Arabidopsis thaliana: one gene and its partner. The protein of the gene in region 1 interacts with the protein of each later gene in a pairwise test. Each region holds a gene or a part of one and is shown on either strand. Other genes may lie near its edges.

What was found.
Region 2: the proteins of AT5G64170 (region 1) and RVE8 interact in a protein complementation assay, tested with the Arabidopsis thaliana proteins (one study listed by BioGRID).

Annotation. Positions count from the first base shown.
Region 1 is NC_003076.8:25,670,274-25,680,340, forward strand, and holds AT5G64170 (dentin sialophosphoprotein-like protein), read right to left. Parts: upstream 6,551-10,067; 5' UTR 6,279-6,550; intron 5,768-6,278; 5' UTR 5,662-5,767; coding exon 5,638-5,661; intron 5,299-5,637; coding exon 4,766-5,298; intron 4,652-4,765; coding exon 4,342-4,651; intron 4,076-4,341; coding exon 3,464-4,075; intron 3,304-3,463; coding exon 3,170-3,303; intron 2,950-3,169; coding exon 2,814-2,949; intron 2,733-2,813; coding exon 2,631-2,732; 3' UTR 2,538-2,630; exon of another isoform or gene 2,446-2,537; 3' UTR 2,193-2,445; downstream 1-2,192. Other genes in the region: AT5G64150 (RNA methyltransferase family protein), read right to left, coding at 1-458; AT5G64160 (plant/protein), read left to right, coding at 668-871, 1,173-1,290, 1,598-1,745, 1,832-2,045; AT5G64180 (tropomyosin), read left to right, coding at 6,890-7,066, 7,509-7,665, 7,789-7,931; AT5G64190 (neuronal PAS domain protein), read left to right, coding at 9,156-10,027. UniProt on the Arabidopsis thaliana protein: Transcriptional coactivator necessary for expression of the clock genes PRR5 and TOC1. Antagonizes REV8 function in the regulation of anthocyanin accumulation. Involved in red light input to the clock. Activates clock-controlled genes with afternoon peak.
Region 2 is NC_003074.8:2,942,257-2,950,957, reverse strand, and holds RVE8 (Homeodomain-like superfamily protein), read right to left. Parts: upstream 4,720-8,701; 5' UTR 4,500-4,719; coding exon 4,321-4,499; exon of another isoform or gene 4,045-4,320; coding exon of another isoform or gene 4,034-4,044; coding exon 3,976-4,033; intron 3,895-3,975; coding exon 3,771-3,894; intron 3,702-3,770; coding exon 3,555-3,701; intron 3,437-3,554; coding exon 3,311-3,436; intron 3,232-3,310; coding exon 3,122-3,231; intron 3,035-3,121; coding exon 2,975-3,034; coding exon of another isoform or gene 2,942-2,974; exon of another isoform or gene 2,803-2,941; coding exon of another isoform or gene 2,781-2,802; coding exon 2,688-2,780; 3' UTR 2,662-2,687; exon of another isoform or gene 2,389-2,661; 3' UTR 1,941-2,388; downstream 1-1,940. Other genes in the region: AT3G09620 (P-loop containing nucleoside triphosphate hydrolases superfamily protein), read left to right, coding at 1-718, 803-1,806; AT3G09590 (CAP (Cysteine-rich secretory proteins, Antigen 5, and Pathogenesis-related 1 protein) superfamily protein), read right to left, coding at 5,445-6,005; AT3G09580 (FAD/NAD(P)-binding oxidoreductase family protein), read left to right, coding at 6,911-8,344. UniProt on the Arabidopsis thaliana protein: Transcriptional activator of evening element (EE)-containing clock-controlled genes. Forms a negative feedback loop with APRR5. Regulates the pattern of histone H3 acetylation of the TOC1 promoter.

The DNA of each region.
Region 1 (10,067 bases):
CGACGCTTCTCGATCCTCTGCCTCCATAAATCGTAAAGCTCCTCCAACGACGCTCTCAATTTCACATTCTTCTCGCCGTTGTCCGCGATTTCGCTTCTATGAAGAATCACTAAAGGATCGTCTACGATTGAGTCTTCGATCAGCCATTTTAGCTCACGGTGGAGAATGACAGAGTCAAGAGTATCTTCGGAATTCTTCGAAGATTCCTCTACGGAGGACGCCAGATCTTTCGCCCAGTCGTGCCATTTCCAAACCTCCGATAGAGAAGTTGCGTGCGACGGCGTCCTAAGGTATAGCGGTGTCTTGGGAGTTATGCTGAGAGACTTAGTCGGCCGAGAGGATTTTGACTCTGTAAGCGACGTGTATTGCGGTGGTTTTTTCGCCGGAGAAGATGAGCAAAGAGGTTTAGCGGCAGAGAGCAAAGAGGTTAACCGTAGACTTGGGAAGATTCTTATCATTTCAAGGTTTTTGCCGCACAAACAGACCAAATCGGTTTATAAATATATTACCAACTAAACCGGATAATCCGGTTCTGTTTTTAGCCGGGTTTTGAACCGAGGATTGAAATAAGATTAACAAGGAATATAAGGGGCTAAAGCATAAATAAAGAAAAGTTCTTCTTATTTTTGTTTGCGGCTCCGATAGATCTTTGGAGCAACGAACAAACATGAGCTTGACGCTGCTTCAAGGCTATTCTTCTGCTGAAGAAGAAGAAGCAGAGGAGAGAGCTTTTGGGGATTACGACAACTCCGACGAAGATGGGGATAATGATGTTCGGAGATATGAATCGTCTTCTGTGTTTGATTTCTCTGCATCTGCCTCCTCCGCTAAAAACGCCGGCCTTCCTTCAGCTGACGACGTTTTCTCTCAGGTCTTCCTTCTCTTTGATTTTGATTTTATACACCTCAATTCATCGAATTGTCGTTTTCCTTGAGGAGATTCGCTGTGAGATTGAATGGTTTCTTTATTATAGATGAAAATAAGTTACTTGGATCTGTAGATTTGATGTGATCGGAATTTAGGGTTAGGAATCCTGAGACTAGGTTAGGTTTGGGGTTTGAATAATAAAGAGATCTTCTGATAGTGAAAACTTTTCAGTGTTCGTTGGCTTGGTTACTTCTTACTCGAAAAGCTTATAGTGAATGATTCTTTGCTTCTATTGAATTTTGCAGATTTCAGGGCCACCGGAGTTTCTAAACAACCGCACAGAAGCAGATAATGAAGCTTCAGCTAGAGATGCAGAACATGCAAATCGTATTAGTCGCAAAAAGAAGAAAGTTAAACCAAAAGGTAGCCACAACTCTTTTGCATCGTCTTAGCATTTTGGTTATAGGGAATGGTACATCTTTAGATGATGTTGAAGAATTTACATCAGTAGGTTTAAAGTTCACAAGATTACGGATTTGTATCTCGAAAATATATGTGAATGTGGATTTAGCTTTAGAAGCTTGTTTTGATACTTAAAGCATAAACATTGTGAAATATGAAACCAGGCACTTTGTGTTGTAATCTCTATCTATCCAGTTTCACAGTTCTGTTTATGGAACTGTTGTTATCTCTCGATCCAGCCTGATGGTTTCCGTTTATTGGCTTGTAGGTGTTGTCATGGAAGCAAAACCTCAACTAGTAGGAATCCATGAGAGAGTAAGAAACGATATTGATGCACCCCCATCTTCAGAGAGTGGTGAAAAGCGGATATCTACTGCAACCAATCCTAATGCAGAAGAATCTGCAGATCTCTTGAGGTATGAATAACCCTTGCCCTCTTCTTCATTCTTTAGTATAAATTTGCACAATGTGAGCTTGATTAGGATTTCTATGATGAGTTTAGGATGTGTGTGCAATGCGGTGTACCGAAAACATATACAAGCGCAAGAGGAATGGTATGCCCGATTTGTGGTGACCGGCCATTACCGGACGTAGACGCGAAGAAGAAAGGCTCTACGATCAAAGATAAAGAGAAGAGCAAAAGAATGAGAGGACAATCTTCTCACGCTTCTTGGAAAAGTGAAACCGAGATGCAGCTTAGGCAAACTTTCGATTAGTGTTTCTTTTACCTTTTACTACATTTGTACCATCCAAATCCAATTTCTGTAACGTAGCTTGTGACACAAAGGTTAATCTTATAATTTGCTTCGGAATGTCTAATTTCATCATTATTGAAATATATATATTTATGAGATCATCAAATATTTATTGGAAAATAAAACCCTAAAATTCGCTATTTTGAAAAAAAGAGAGTAAATACACAGCAGAATATTTTATCGCATTACAAAACGAACTAACATCTTTATCTACAGAATTGCTATGTCTCTACTTCTTCCTCTACTTAACAACTTGAACAGATTACAAAGGTAAAGAACATATCTTAAAGACCTGGTTCGAGCAACCAGGTGTACAATCAGGTTCGAGCAACCAGGTGTACAATCAGGTTCGAACCGAAATCTAGACCAGAAAGTTATCTCAACACATAAATACAACTGTGTTACAAAATCCATGATTCTAATGAAGAAGCAGTCAGGATTTTAGTAACTAACCTGAGCAATTTCGCTTAGCCAAAATCGAGATTAGTGTTAACAACAATATCTCGAATGCTTCAGCAATGAAAGAGCCAGTTTTATTTGACATCATTAATTGTTGTCACTTGTTACAACTTCTGCTTCGGGTCTAAGTTCTGTAGTTTCCTCTTGTTTCTCTATCCTCAGGCTCGGACTACTATTGGGCTGAGGAATCTGTGTAGATAGTGATGGGTAAAATGAGGCACTGTGTTTTGCACATTAAATGGCGGTGTAAGAATCGAAGGTTTAACTTACCATTGGATGAGATTTATAAGACAGAACATTGTTATCGGATGAAAGAGATGAGTCTGAGGGCCTGTGAAACAGCAAATGAGCTATCGATCGATCTATCGGGTTTGTATCAGTTTCGATATCCATGAATCCAGCATACCTGGATGAGACCACATACAGATATCAAAGATTAGAATCTAAGAGAAATGAAGGACGAGTACAAGAGCCCAAGTGGAAGTTTCTAAAGAAGAGAGTTACTAAATCTGTCAAGACTCGAGTCTAATCCTATATAAAGTTATAAGTTGGCATCAAGAACTTTACTTAGCAACAGGTGATAAAGGGTGAACATATTGAATAATTATGTAGGATGTGGTGCTTACTTGTCTGCTTCACCAGTCACGAGATGCGAGCCTGCGCCTTTCTCCGGTCTGTTTCCACCATGATGTCTCTGTTCCGCACTTTTTGCTAATCGGTATAAGCTGTCTCTTATGCAAAGCTTTGTCCTAACATCCAACTGGAGCAAGCAAGTGTATTATCAACCAAGTAAGCAAATGTATATGTAAATTTATTAACATATATACACTTTGATATCAATCACAAAGGAACAGCAAACTTTTACCGATTCCCAGGAAGCCTTTTCCTTATATCAACAATTATCTATTGACAAGTTGTACCTGTTCTATAACTTGTTGAAGCTGGCGAAAACTTGTTGCTTCCAGTGAAATGTCATCCACAACAGAGCTAACACAAGAACTTCCCTGCATATTTGATGTTTCCAATTCAGTTGCAGCTTTTCTGTGGTCATTCTCAAGCCCAATCTTCTGGATAGGAGCAGCATCAGGAAACACCATGGAGTCTGTCTTACTACTCTTCTTGGTATTTGCAGCAAAAGAAGGAGGCATATCTTGCCCAGGCAGCAAGTTGGCTCTCGTTTCAAAGACCTTCCTAAACCGATCATCAACAGTTGGACCTTGTAAGCTCTCGATTGATTGTGCATGATTTGATGTGTATGACTCATTTGAAGCAGAGGAAGGACTGGGTTTGTTCTCAGATTTAATACCAGATTTACTTTCACATGCTGATACTTGAACGGAAGGCTGCTCACAATTGAAATGCGAGTATGGCACATCTCGCTGTTGGAATGCGGAGGGAGGGTAATACTGGTTGGTATCCATTATTTCCCTTGAAATACCACTGTGCTGTAAAGTAAAACTGTTCTCCGAGAACCCATCACTTTTCCCATCCAGATGATGAAGATGATCAGTCTGCTTCTTCTCAAGATTTGCCTGTATAACAAAAATTTGTACTGATATGAAATTGCTGGAATAGTGTCAAGATTTCAACAGTACAAATACTTATCTAATAGAATATCCACTTGCCCTTAACGAAACCATAAACCACCATTGTAAAAAGCGTCATATCATAGTTAGAGGATTTAACTGAGGAAAACGTGCAACTAAATAAGTCATCATAGAAGGTAACATCCCATGTAGTTAATGGTTGCATGTGCCTTGGAAGGCGCAAACAATTCTGAAATAAGAAATTGACTAACCTCTACATCCAGCATCAATATATCCTTCTTTTGCAAACTTGTATCGAATACATTTTGTGATGATTTTCCTTGAGCTGAATCGTCCTCAATAGTATATCCATACTCATCTTCAACAGCATGGTTGGGCTCACTGTTGTTCAAAAAGTCTTCAACCTGCAACATAGCGGTTCTTTGATTTTCCAACATTTTGTCTGGTTTGAGATCATCTGTCATCGCGCCTGCTGTCTCCTCATTTGGCTGGGCAGAAGAGAACCACCCTAAGTCACCTTCATTATTAAGACTATCCAAGCCGAATGTTGAATCACAACTCCTGTGCGTCCAATAAACGAGTGTAGGCTCAGACAAATGTTACCATGTTTCTCCCATAAGCAATGATCCCCAATGTGATAAGAATATATAGAAAAGAGAATATCTAAAATGTTACCTAAGCATGTTGTCCACATCCTCAAAATTTCCTATGTCACCCCAGCCATAGAAGAGATCATTTTTTTCTTTATCTCCATTGTCGAAAAAGCTAAGATCATTTTCAGCATCCGGAATGCTGTTGAGGGAATAATTATATACGCCATCATTCGTTGCAGCGGAAGTGTCACACAACATGGGATCCCCAGTGGAGAAATTTTCAACCACATCTACGTGGCCACCATTGAAACCATGATCTGAAGTATTTGTATCCTCCAATGTCATATCCTGAACATCTTTTCCTGTTCCCGTATCACGAGAAACCGAAGAGCCACCACTATCTTTCTCAGGCCATGGATTTTTTCCTAACATGTTTGCCTCTCTCTTGATAAAAGTATTACTCTTTAGATGGTTTGTTCCACTACCCATATCATCATTTCTTCGTTTCTTCCTGTTACTAACTAGAATTGGAAACTGACCTCCATCCTCATACGCTGAGTCTGGCACTATACCATCATCGTTCCCATGAAATTCATCCGAAAGATAATCGCCTAGCTGAAAGGAAAAGAAAGGAAAGAAAACTTCAGCCACCAATTAGAAATCCACATTACCAAGTCAAAGAAAAAAATGACTAGGGAAACATCAAACCGAGTAGACTAACAAAGTATCCCCAATCCTGCACAGAACACATCCAAGTGGTAGCGATAACAAGAAGTAAAATATGAGATGCAAGAACTGTCCTATATTTTAAACGATTTTGAACCCAATAAAAAAAGGAAATTTCACAACAGTTCATTTTCCGGGAACATACGACAAGAGCAACAACGAAAGATCTAAATCCATAGTCTCATAGAAAAAAGATACACACACATATATGATTGTGACTCCACTCACCTCATGAATGTACAAGTCCGACATTCCTCCCAACTTCAGACTCTTTAATCACCACTAAAATCATGCACATTACCCCGATATGTCATCTCTATTGCAAAACATGTAACTCCCACAAACACTATTTCTGGTTCTGGATAGGAAATATAAATATATTAAACAGCTTCCAATAATAGAGAAATCGAACCCAGCATATAAGAAAACTTGACTTTTCTTATCCAGAATCAAATCCCATGAAACCCGAAATACATGTAATCCAAACCCTAAGAGTTAACCCATTCTTTCAACTATTCATGAATTCCAGAAATTAGACTCAAATTCTACAGCCAAAAAGTCAAATCTCATAGCAAGTAGCACAAAAACAAAGTAGGAGAAAAATCAGATAGTAGGATTCAACCATTTTATGCTCGTAATTTCTAGCAAAATCGAGTTAAACTATCATTATTAAACCGAGAGTTTACAAAAACAACTAAAATCCAGTGAAATGAGGCATTCAATGAAACTAACTGCAACAAAAAAAAAAACAATCAAATCTGAGAAATCCTCAGCTACCGCTGCTATGGAAACACTGAGGATAAGAACCAAATTTTCTAATTAAATTCAATCGAAATAGATTCCATCAAAGCCGAACGAAATAAGCTCACCTGTGAGACAGATTCTTCCACTAGCAACTCCAGAAAACTCCACAGATAAAATTGTTTACCAGAAAACAAAAAACTCAGCAGATAGAAGAGATTGTATCAATTCATCGAAGCTAGATCGAAAAAAAAAACTGTGTAGGACTTTCTAGAGATGTTCGGCAGAAGACGATGAAGGCTTCCTATTTTTTTTTTTTTGACAAACATTTTAAATTTTAATTAAACTATTGTTTTTGTTTCGGGAGAATCAAAAGACAAGTGACCATGATATCAACACGTGGCAACTAAATCAAAAGGTTTAACAGGCTTGGGTTTTTAATATCAGAATTCGTGGACGAGAGAGCAGTGTGAGATCCTATCAGTTCCAGTTTTATTATTGGTACACGTCATTAGTACCTTCTCGAAACTGGGCACGCCTCATCTTCTTATTGGCTTACATCGTAATGATGACATCAGCCTTTATTTACGTATAACAAATTACCATGCGGTTAAAAAAAACAATAGTTATATGGGCCGAAGAAAGCCCAAAGAATCTTTAGTTGTTTTTCCGATCGATCTGCGAGTCGAGTAGTTTTTTTATTTGCCGGCGCCGGGAGAGATCCTTTGATCTTTTTCCGATGGAGGAGCAATTCGGCGGGAGCGATGAGAGATGGAAAGGATCATTGGAGAATATAACGGAGATGGCATCGAATCTCGATTCGCTTCAGAAACTTCTCCTCAAGAAAGCAGTCTTCGTTGAAGAAGACACTTTCTCTAGAGCTTCTCTCGTCTCCGAGCAAGCCCGAACAATCAAGGTTAATCCTTTTTCCTGTGATAAAATTTGAAATTATAGAGCTTAATTGTCTGAATTTTGAGCTTCTTTTCTTTGACTTTGATGATTGCTTCTGTGATTTGTGGATTCGATCTAGTTGATCACGATCGCACTTTTTAGTTTGCTTTAGTACTACTATAGCTCAGTGTAATAGTGTGATTCTGGAATTGCATTTGACGGTGAATTTGGGAACTTGTAGTTGATCATAAATTTTGAATCTTCGATTTTGTGATCTGTTAATGGTACAAATGATCACCAAATCCTTGAAGACTGGACTTGAGGTTTCACTATGAAAACTCCCAAGTGCAATTATGTGTATTAAGTAGAAATTCTTCATGTTGTAAGTAAAAAAGGACTGTGTTACATGTTTGAGATAAGGGATAGTTTCAGATTGTCTCTTAACTCTGTTCAATGGTTTGTTTTAGGTTCTTGAGCAAAGAGTACAAACACTAGAAAGAGAACTAGATGCTGCCATTACAGCTGCTGCTCATGCTCGGTCTGAGAAACGCCAAGCTGAGTCCTCTCAAAAGGCTGCTGAATCACGTGCCCAAGATGTCACAAAAGAGCTTGAAAACACCACAAGTATGCACTTGATAATCACTTCTTGAGTTGATGCCTGGTGGCACCATTCTCTCCCGCACGTTTATCTGCGTTCCAGTTTCATATTCACTCTCACTCACTGACTTATACAACTCTTGGTTTCAGAGGTTTTCAAGCTGCATATGGAAGAGCTTCGAGGAATGCAAGAACAGATATCCAAACGCGATAACGAGATCAAACTCTTAGAAGCTATAATCCAAACGCTCGGCGGCAAAGAGCGGTTGGGAAAAAGCGACGTGAATGGATGATGATGATGCGTTTTTTCACTTGTAAAGGTTTGTACTCCTGAGTTTGTGGAGATGTATCACTTCGAAGATAAATGTATTTTTGTCTGTCTATTTGGTACGTTTTAGAATCTTGCCTGTTCTTTCAAGAAATGAATGTTACATGGGCCTGACCCTATAAATGGGCCTAATGTGAATCGATCGATACTAAAAATGGGTTTTATAGGTGTGTGTGTGTGGTTTTCACACGTTTGCCGCCGATAGTGCTGCGATGCCATCCAGATTCAGTAACGCGGCATCTCCAGGACTCCAGCCGTGTGGAGCAAGAAACTACGTAAATTTGACAGCTGAAGATGCAATTTCACAAAAAGAGAATAAAAGAAACAAAAGAGGATTATGACCAATTTAGAAAAAACTTTTTTCAAAAAAGTGATGCTTCATGGTTTTTAGCGTGTGGGGTGTCTCTCTATATTATCTAATTTTTTGGTAGAAACTAGTGTACAATATCTAATTTTGATAAAATACCAATGAAGGAAGTTTTGACTATTTCTGATTGCTTTATTTTTGTTTGCTTTGTTATAGTATATACAAGCATATAATTTTTATTTTTAAGGCTCGATTAAGTAAGGTAAGAAAAATGAGGATTGTGTCTAAAACTAGGTGGGGGTGAACCAAAGAAATACGTAAAGTAATAAATTAATGCAAAGGCCATTGTTGTTTACTTCACGCTGCGAAAGTGGTTAAAAAGAATCTATGGCTACTAATTATTCTCTTACAAATTTTCTTTATACATTTGGATAAAAGCAAGAACATAAACACTTTCTGATTATGACAAAGAATCTGAATTTCATTTTGCTGTTACTAGTCAACTCTAGTCAATTGTCATGCATATCATAGCACAGTAAACCATCTCTATCGACTATCATATTAATAAAGAGTCACTAATCAAATTTCCAATATTCAAAAAAATATATCGTAATCATGCAACATTTAAGTTTCGATAATCATTCAATACGAGTATATCCAAACCCTTGATATATGAAATATGTATTCCTACGAAATGGCCAAGTTTATTATTCCACTTTTAACTAATTTCAAGCTTATCACTTCATTTTTCTTTTTGCTAAATCCTGCACATGATTCAATGTTCTTGACCCCATTTGACGTACAAATACAATATAACGTGCATCTATTTATACGTGTATATATATGCAATCAAACCTCAAACACAACCACATAACAAAAAAAATGATGTCCGAGAAGTTCCCTGATGTATTCACTTGGATACAAAACATCCCACAGATCACCAAATGGCGCACAACTTCTCTTCCCTTTTGCATTTGCCCTTCAACTTCTGATTTTCCAAATTCAACCCTAAATCTCACAGCACAAAAGAGCCCTAGCCCTAAAGTTGTCACTTTCTCCATCATCGTCCAATCCAATAATCATTCTCCTTTGTATCTTTGGACCACTAAACAAGAGCTCAGCATCAACCCAAACTCACCAAACCCTTTCGATGAACTAACAATCATCTCTCTCCTCTTCAATTTCGTCGAAACTATCTTAACCTATACCTCTAATAGTTCCAACTATTCAACGATCAAAATCCCTAACTCCGATTCATCCAAGATCGGCGGTCTTAAAGACATAGTCAACACCGTGATTCTCACTCTCTCGTTCGTTGTTTGCGTCTACGAAGCTCCTCTGTATCTCCGTGAAAACTGCCTCAATACCCTCAAGAACCATTTGATTACTTGTCATACACGGCGAGCTACTATATCTCTGATGAAGCTTCTAGGGTCTAATTTGGAAGAGCAGTGGATGAGAACAGTGAATCTAGCGTTTACAAATTGGATCATCGAGCAGCGTCGTAGTCAGTCAACCAAGATCACAACAACTCCTTTGTTCTCTTACGCTGTTTCGGCTTATGGATTGTGGAAAGTGCAATTGTATTGTCCCGTTGAAGCCATGGAAGTAGAGAGATCGAGCAACCCAACGGCTGATTCGAGATTGTTGTTCTCTCTCAAGTTTAATCAGCTTGAAGGTGTGATGCAGTTCAATCACAAAGTTGTAGTTAGAGACAATTGGATCGATGTGATCGTGAAGATAGACAACATCAGGTACACATATGTTACTAAGACACTCTTGTTTTGTTAAAAT
Region 2 (8,701 bases), on another chromosome or scaffold:
GAAAAGCCAATGCCTATCCAAGCACAAGCACTTCCAATCATCATGAGCGGTAGAGACTGCATTGGGGTTGCCAAAACCGGGTCAGGTAAAACCCTTGGCTTTGTTTTGCCTATGTTGAGGCATATCAAAGATCAGCCTCCCGTTGAAGCTGGTGATGGGCCGATTGGGCTTGTAATGGCACCTACTAGAGAACTTGTTCAGCAGATTTACAGCGATATCAGAAAGTTTTCTAAGGCATTGGGTATAATATGTGTGCCTGTGTATGGAGGATCTGGAGTTGCCCAGCAAATCAGTGAGCTTAAGCGAGGTACCGAGATTGTTGTTTGTACTCCTGGAAGAATGATCGATATTCTTTGCACAAGCAGTGGAAAAATTACCAATCTACGAAGGGTCACATATTTGGTAATGGATGAAGCTGATCGTATGTTTGATATGGGTTTTGAGCCTCAAATAACTCGCATTGTTCAAAATATTCGACCTGATCGTCAAACTGTGCTCTTTTCTGCCACTTTTCCACGCCAAGTTGAAACTTTGGCACGTAAAGTCTTGAACAAGCCTGTGGAGATACAGGTCGGTGGGAGGAGTGTTGTGAATAAAGATATAACTCAGTTAGTTGAAATCAGACCCGAGAGTGAGAGGTTCTCAAGACTTCTGGAACTTCTTGGGGAATGGTATGAGAAAGGAAAAGTTTTGGTCTTTGTTCGTTCGCAGGAAAAATGTGATGCTTTGTATAATGATTTGATGACCAAATGAGCCTGTCTATCTCTTCACGGGGGTAAGGAACAGACTGATCGTGAATCAGCTATATCTGATTTTAAGAGCGATGTCTGCAATTTGTTGATCGCCACAAGTGTTGCAGCCAGGGGTCTAGATGTGAAAGAGCTCGAGTTGGTTGTAAACTTCGATGCACCAAACCACTATGAAGACTATGTGCATCGTGTTGGTAGGACAGGTAGGGCAGGGCGGAAAGGCTGTGCTGTAACATTTATCTCTGAGGATGATGCAAAATATGCACCAGATTTAGTCAAGGCCCTGGAACTATCTGAGCAGCCAGTTCCTGATGATGTTAAAGCAGTAGCCGAAGGGTTCATGGCGAAAGTAAAACAGGGTATTGAGCAAGCTCATGGAACTGGCTATGGTGGAAGTGGCTTTAAATTCAACGAAGAGGAGGATGAAGTTAGGAAAGCAGCAAAGAAAGCACAAGCGAAGGAGTATGGCTTTGAAGAAGAGAAGTCTGACTCAGAAGATGAGAATGATGTAGTAAGAAAGGCTGGTGGTGATATCTCACAGCAGCAGATTACTCTTGCTCAGATAGCCGCCATTGCTTCTGCTGCTTCTAAGGCTCCTGTGACTGCTAACCAATTGCTTCCAAATGGTGGTGGGCTAGCCACTGAGCCAGGTATCCCTCCTACTGATGGAGCAGGCCGCGTTGCAGCCATGATTGCTGCTGCTAACGTGCAACAGTACCTTGCAAAGATTCAAGCTGATGCGATACCTGAACACTATGAAGCAGAATTGGAAATCAATGATTTCCCACAGAATGCTCGGTGGAAAGTTACCCACAAAGAAACGCTGGGACCAATATCAGAGTGGAGTGGAGCTTCCATTACCACTAGAGGTAAGTTTTATGAGGCAGGACGTATCCCGGGACCTGAGGAACGCAAGCTCTATTTGTTCGTCGAAGGGCCTACCGAAATATCTGTTAAGACAGCGAAAGCTGAACTCAAGCGTGTTCTTGAAGACATAACTAACCAAACCTTCTCCCTTCCTGGAGGAGCACAATCAGGCAGATACTCTGTTTTATAAAATCATGAGGTTTTTGATTCTAGGATTTTTTAAAAATTATTCAGAAAACTAGTAAGTATTGATTGATGTTGTTGAATACTTGAATACATACAATCTCTCCACAATTGCAAAATCTTTTTATAGACTTGACTTGGTTTCCTTATTAAAAACAAAATTCTGAATCAAACCCCATAATATATAAAGAAAGCTGTCAACTTTAAAACAATAGAGTTGCCGTCATTTACTTAACACTGATCTTGAACCATTACACTCAGTCCTAGGACTTATCTTTTACACAAATACACAACAACTGAACAAAAAGTTATGACGAGATTTTAGTACAAGAGTAACGGGTGGATGAGAATGAGGCTGTCTTGCAACTAGTAGAAAAACCCCTTACATATATTATACCTACCATTCACCCAACTAGTCCTGGTCAAAATCTGCGGAAGCCCCCTATAGCTTCAAAACTTGGCTTATGTTTCTCCTCAAAACAACAAAGACCTTTTACACAATTCCCACATGATGATGCAGTGACACGATTGTGATTCCAGTGACGTATAACACCAAAGTTTATTAAACATGGGAAACCAATGAGTAAACCTGCCAATACGGTGAGAACCATATAACTCTTATGCAAGACTTTACAAAGTTTGCAAGAAGCCTGAACTGGTGCTAATACTCAAAATACCGTAGTGTATATATCTTGTATCCCAGACTGTGACTAACTATAGAACTCTTATTGCAAACCTTAGAGTTAGAGAACTGTCACTAGACTTATATCTAACCATGAACTCATGTGACTTCTAATAGTAGTGAAATGTTTTCTTGTACTGAATTTAAAAGGTCAGAGGAAAAAGAGGGAAAAACACTTACTTGCTAGCTGATGGCTCATATTTTTGTTATGCTGATTTGTCGCTTGTTGAGTTCTTGACAAGGGAAACAACGCTTGGGAGCTCGGTCGTCACGTTGTCATATGATAAGAGGACTTTCCTCTGCAGCATCATTACAATCCGACTAGCTGAGGTTAGATTAAATTTGATCACGCAAGCGCAAAAAAACTCATTTCAATGTAAGGAACCAAAGATCATAAAAGAAGTGCCTCCAACTCATTGGTTGAGAGTGAAATAGTTTCAGACTCTGAGAAAGTTGGTCATCACAAATCTTTTATCGCAAATTTAACACTTACAGTGGATTCTAAATCAGGGTTTGATAAGTTAACTGTGAGGTTTCTCATCAATAACAGAACCTGTAAACACCATACTATGTGATTAGTGAAGAAATGCTAAGAGCTTGAACACCAATTAATCTGAAAGCTTGTAAACTCTTGACTCACAGTTTCGAAATTTATAGGATCCATTTCCTTGAGCTTTTCCACATGGCCTCTCGTTTCAGGATCAAAGACACTCCCAATGAAATTATAAACTTCAGCAAAATCAGGAACACCTACAAAGATAGTATCAGTACAGTCTCCATCATGCATAAAAGTTAGTGAAAAAACATGGAATTGTTCACAGATGGTTACCGTGAAGCACTGGAGGCTGTTTAGCCTTTCTTACAATCTCAGAACCTGATACTGTTCGGCTTGAGCTTCCCATGCCAGATGTAGAAGGGCTACTAACATTTAATAAGCCCTTTGATCCAATATCAGCTGAATCAGTGGCGTTATATGCCATAATAAGCACATGAAACGTCCTTTGATGGAACCTATTCTTACTACAACTACCAATAAAATGAAGAAAACAAAAAGGATAGACAAATGTGCATGCCTTCTGCTCCACGAAGAGTAGCAAGTTCATGTTGTGGTGAAATAACTCTGTTTAGCAGCATTGAGGCATCATCCCATGAAGCATATCCCGGCATGTCGCCATTTCGCGTAGTAGTAAAAGACGTGGAAACTTGAAGTGGCATTTGAGCTGCAAGAAAATGTGAGTTAAAAACTCAACTCTATAACCAAACTAAGAAGTATTATAAAATATTCGAACCGTTCTTTGATGCCTTTTGAGGATACGGATGAGCTGCTTTGCGCTTAGGTCGAGGAGGTGGCACATGAGCTAATGTCCCGTTTTTCTGAACCTTGAGAAAGTATTTTTGAGCATGACTCCTTATCTGCAGTACAAAGTCAAATAAGTTGAAAACATTGCCACAAAGTAACTGCGACCAAAAATGCAGAGTAAGCTATTTTAAAACCTGAATCACAGTCTTTGAACCAACAAAATCTTCAATCTTCTTCCAGTCACGATCAAACCTAAGGAACATAGAGGAGTAGTAGTATCAGCAGAATCAGGTCCTAGTTACATCAATAACACTTTCAAAAAGTCAACACAACTATAAATTTATTACAGTTGAAGTGCTCCAAGAAGCAGATCTTTTTAGCTAAGCAGATTTTTTATAGCTAAGTTACTACTAGACCTAAGCTAAGTAACATAAACTTTCCTCTGTTTGTTCAGTCTATAACTAACTAAACTCAGAAATCAGCAGCAAACTAAGAAATTTGAAGTCTCTAAAAACAGAGAAACAGAGATAAATTATTACAGTTGAAGTGCTTCAAGAAACTTATCGTGCTCTTCCTCTGTCCAGCTCTCTCTTGACTTGGTGATGGTATATGGTTTCCTCACTTTCTTAGACGAACCCTCTGCCACAGCATCCGTCGATGTTGGTGGTGGCGGAGGTGCTTCGGCGTTCGTTGGATTTCTTGACGGCGACGAGCTCATCGGTTATTTTTCAGATAAAGACAGGTGTAAGAGAGAATGCAGAGAGAGAAAGTAGGAAAAAGAAAAGTCCACATGGCGGGGAAGAAGTTGGGATGTGTATGTGGAGTAGGTTTCACTTTGATCTCAGACCATCCATTTTTCTGACTTTTTTTATTATTATTTCATTCTTTCCTACCACTTCATTTAGAGCCTCAAGCTTGAAGCACGTGTAGACTTGTAGTCTTTTGATTTCATGAAAATGAATCCAAAAAAACGAAAGAGTTTTATACTTTAATTAAAACAAGTGGCCTAACATTTATCTTTAACTTGCGAGTTTGTGGCCATCAAGCCATACAAGCTTTGGAAAAACCTGGCGGACAAAAGAGCTGAACTCTTCACCTGCAAATATTAGGTCGTTGTCTCTAATATCTAACTGCTTCAGTTTCATCAAATCTCTAAGCACCAAATACGCATCCTAGTATATACCAAGCACCTCTCTTCCAATTTCACCCGAATTAGAGGGCGGCCAAGAACAAAGGTACCTTGTTGTGTCCACTGGGTGCTTGCCGCCCATGTCGTTATGTGAAACATCCAACACTTTAGCTGCTTCAGATGTCTTAGAGAGTCAAGGGATGAAAAGCTCCGATTTAGGCAACAGAGAATTCGGTTTTGTATTCAAATCTTACGAAACAAATACAACAAGTCGATATGTCCGAGTGGTTAAGGAGATAGACTTGAAATCTATTGGGCTTCGCCCGCGCAGGTTCGAACCCTGCTGTCGACGTTTTTTTTTATTATTGATCTTTAATATATAAAATTAAAAGATTCCGAACCATTTGAATTTATACCTCTTCAATACATGGCTGTATATATGTAAGGACCAAGAATAATATACCATCTTCATTACATTAGAAGAAGAAAAAATATTTTGAATCTCTAACAATTTTTTCATTTTAACTGTTTTGATCAAAATGGTCTTTCACCTTCGTAATTCCCGCGTGGATCATATTCACACACCACAAGATAGCCACGACCGTTATGGCATTTCACACGTGCGCATCCAACGGCTGTGGTCTCTCTCCACACCATCTGCGTGTAATGGCCGCACATCTTTCCCGGTGCGCACGTGTTTGTTTTCACGTCGTAGTTAAACCTTTCCTCAAACCATCTCGTCACCACTTTCTCCGGCGACCACGTCTTCTTACGCCGGTGCCAGAAAATGTTCTCACCGTAAGGCCCACCTGAATGTATCATACTGCAATCGGACTTACGTTGTTTAGCCCATTTATCAGCGAATCGGGCCAGGTCTCTGTCCCATCCGAGCGTTGGCACGCCTGAAGAAACACGTGCATCGTTGTGCGCTTGTAGAAATTCTCTCGACAGTTTTGCTCTTCTCGCTCTGTTTACCAAACGCGCCGCCGTGTTCACCGCGTCGGGGATGGAGGTTCCGAGGACGGAGGGATGACCGGAAAAGAGAAGGAAGAGAAGAAGAAGACATGATGATGGATGAGACAACGTTACAGACATCTCCACGTCTCTGTATAATTTTGTCTCTCATCATGATTCCTCTGTTTCTAAGGGAGTTTTTTTTGTTACTTTTGTTCAGTTAGAGATTTTTCCATTTTCTGACATTTTAACAAATTTTCCTGATTCTGTTGTTTCATATCAAACAATTCTTATTGGTGATGATGAGAAAACTACCGTATATTTTTAGATTAAAAAAACGAAATTATTAAGGTTGTTATACTTTTCACAACCCAACAAAAGCTAAAAAGAAAAACAATTCCGTCAACAGCAGGATTCGAACCTGCGCGGGCAAAGCCCAATTGATTTCGAGTCAATCTCCTTAACCACTCGGACATATTGACTTTTGCTCATTGTTTCTACTATATTATATATATACTCAGATATTATCAGTACCAAAATAAACAAACAAAAATAAAAGCTTTTGGAGATAGAAGAAGAGTCTGGGAGAGCTCTTTTACTCATAGCAGTTAAGAAGACATGGAACAGAAAGAAAAAGACAATCCCGAAAGTCGTTTTATTTTCTTAAATATTTAAAACAAGATAGCAGACGAAGTATTAAGCAACAAAATCCATTACACTTATTTAAAATCATTATAAGCCAAAATAGACGGCCTATAAGCAATCACCAGTCTTCCTACTCTTCATTGGTCTTCATCTTCCGCAGGACTAAGGTCGTCTCTTGGGCTGTATCCGTCTCTAGGACAACGGTCCTCTCTGGGACTAGGACTCTGGTCTTCATAATTTGTTTTTGTTCAGATTAATAAGGAAAAGAATCAAGAAAACAAGACTTATTCGAATCTTTTAAATAATTATTTGAATATATATATATTATTTTTTCTAGACAAATAATTTTCCCGGGGAAAATAAAGTAAAGGAATGAGAAAAACCTTATCCAAACTTTTAAAATGCCCGTGGCGATCTCTCTCCCAACCTCATCTACTTCTCATTTCTTCCCTCGCCGCCGCGGCCATGCAAATCACCGATATCAACGCTTTTCCGGAGCTCAATCTTCCACGGAAGATCCGTACATTCGGAAGAATCAAACTGGCGTCATCATCATCGGCGCTGGACTCGCTGGTTTAGCCGCCGCAAACCAGCTCACCTCCAAACGAATCCCTTTCCTACTCCTCGAAGCTTCCGATGGCGTCGGCGGACGCGTCCGTACAGATATCGTCGACGGCTTCTTTCTCGACAGAGGATTTCAGATTTTCATCACCGCGTACCCCGAAGCTAAAAAGCTTCTAGATTATGAAGCACTGGATCTGCAGAGATTCTACGCCGGAGCTAAGGTGTTTTACGGCGGTAAATTTCACACCGTCGCTGATCCTCTCCGACATTTTTGGGATTCGGTGGCATCTCTCGCGAATCCGATCGGATCCGTCGTTGACAAAGGGCTTATCGCTTTGACGAGAGCTAGGGTTCTAATCAAGTCAGACGAAGAGATATTGACTGCCGCCGATGAAGTTCCCACCATTGATCTCCTCCGTAAGATCGGTTTCTCCGAAACGATTCTTGATCGGTTCTTCCGACCATTCTTCGGCGGAATTTTCTTCGACAGAGACCTCGAGACGACCTCGAAGCTCTTCGATTTCGTTTTCCGGTGTCTTGCTCTCGGAGAAAACACACTTCCAGCCATGGGAATCGGAGAAATCTCGAACCAGTTGGCAGCGAAGTTACCCGCTAAGTCCGTCTTGTTGAACACAAGGGTCGCTTCTATTGAGTATCCAAATGGATCGGGTTCGGATCCACCTAGCGTGAGGCTCCAAGACGGCAGCGTTATGAAGGCAGAGCTAGGTGTCATAATCGCCGTCGAGCAACCGGAAGTGAATAAGCTTCTCGATGGGATCAGAGACCCGGTTATAACAAAACCAGCTCGGAGCACTATTTGTCTTTACTTCACAGCTGAACCGAACCAAATACCGGTACAAGACCCGGTTCTATTTCTCAACGGGTCAAATTCCGGTATAATCAACAACATGTTCTTCGCTACAAACGTTGCTCGGACATACGCGCCACCGGGAAAGGCTCTGGTTTCGGTATCATTGATCGGATTGTTTGAGGATAGAACCGATGATGATTTAGCAGCAGAAGTTCTTAGAGAACTCTCTGGTTGGTTTGGTGAGTCTCCGGTTATGTCATGGAAACATTTGAAAACATACCGGATCCAATTCGCTCAGCCTAACCAATGTCCACCCACTGATTTGGTCAAGAGTCCTCGGGTCGGGTCGGGTCTTTACTTGAGCGGTGATTACATGACTTCTGCTACATTTGATGGAGCTTTGGTCTCTGGGAGACGAGCCGTGGAAGTTTTGCTACGAGAAACGGGACTAATCAAATAGATTTTTTTTGTTATTTAAGATTCTTTGTATGGCTTAATTCATGTCTTGTATGTAGAAGTATGTATCCTCTAAGATCATATGTTGGCAAATTAAGCATTATGGTTAATGCTAATGATAATGTCTAGCAAGACTATATATAAAGGCTCAATAGAGATGCAAGGTATGACTCAACCAATACCATACTAAAGGCTCATAGAGATGCAAGGTAATTCATGACTCGACCAATTCCATACAATAAAGATCTGTGTGTGCTCTCTTGCTGTGATTATGGGATCGACTGCTTTGTCACTATGGACTGGATTGACCCTGAAACCGAATTCCAATATTTCAAGTCCAGTGGAACCACCACAAATTTGT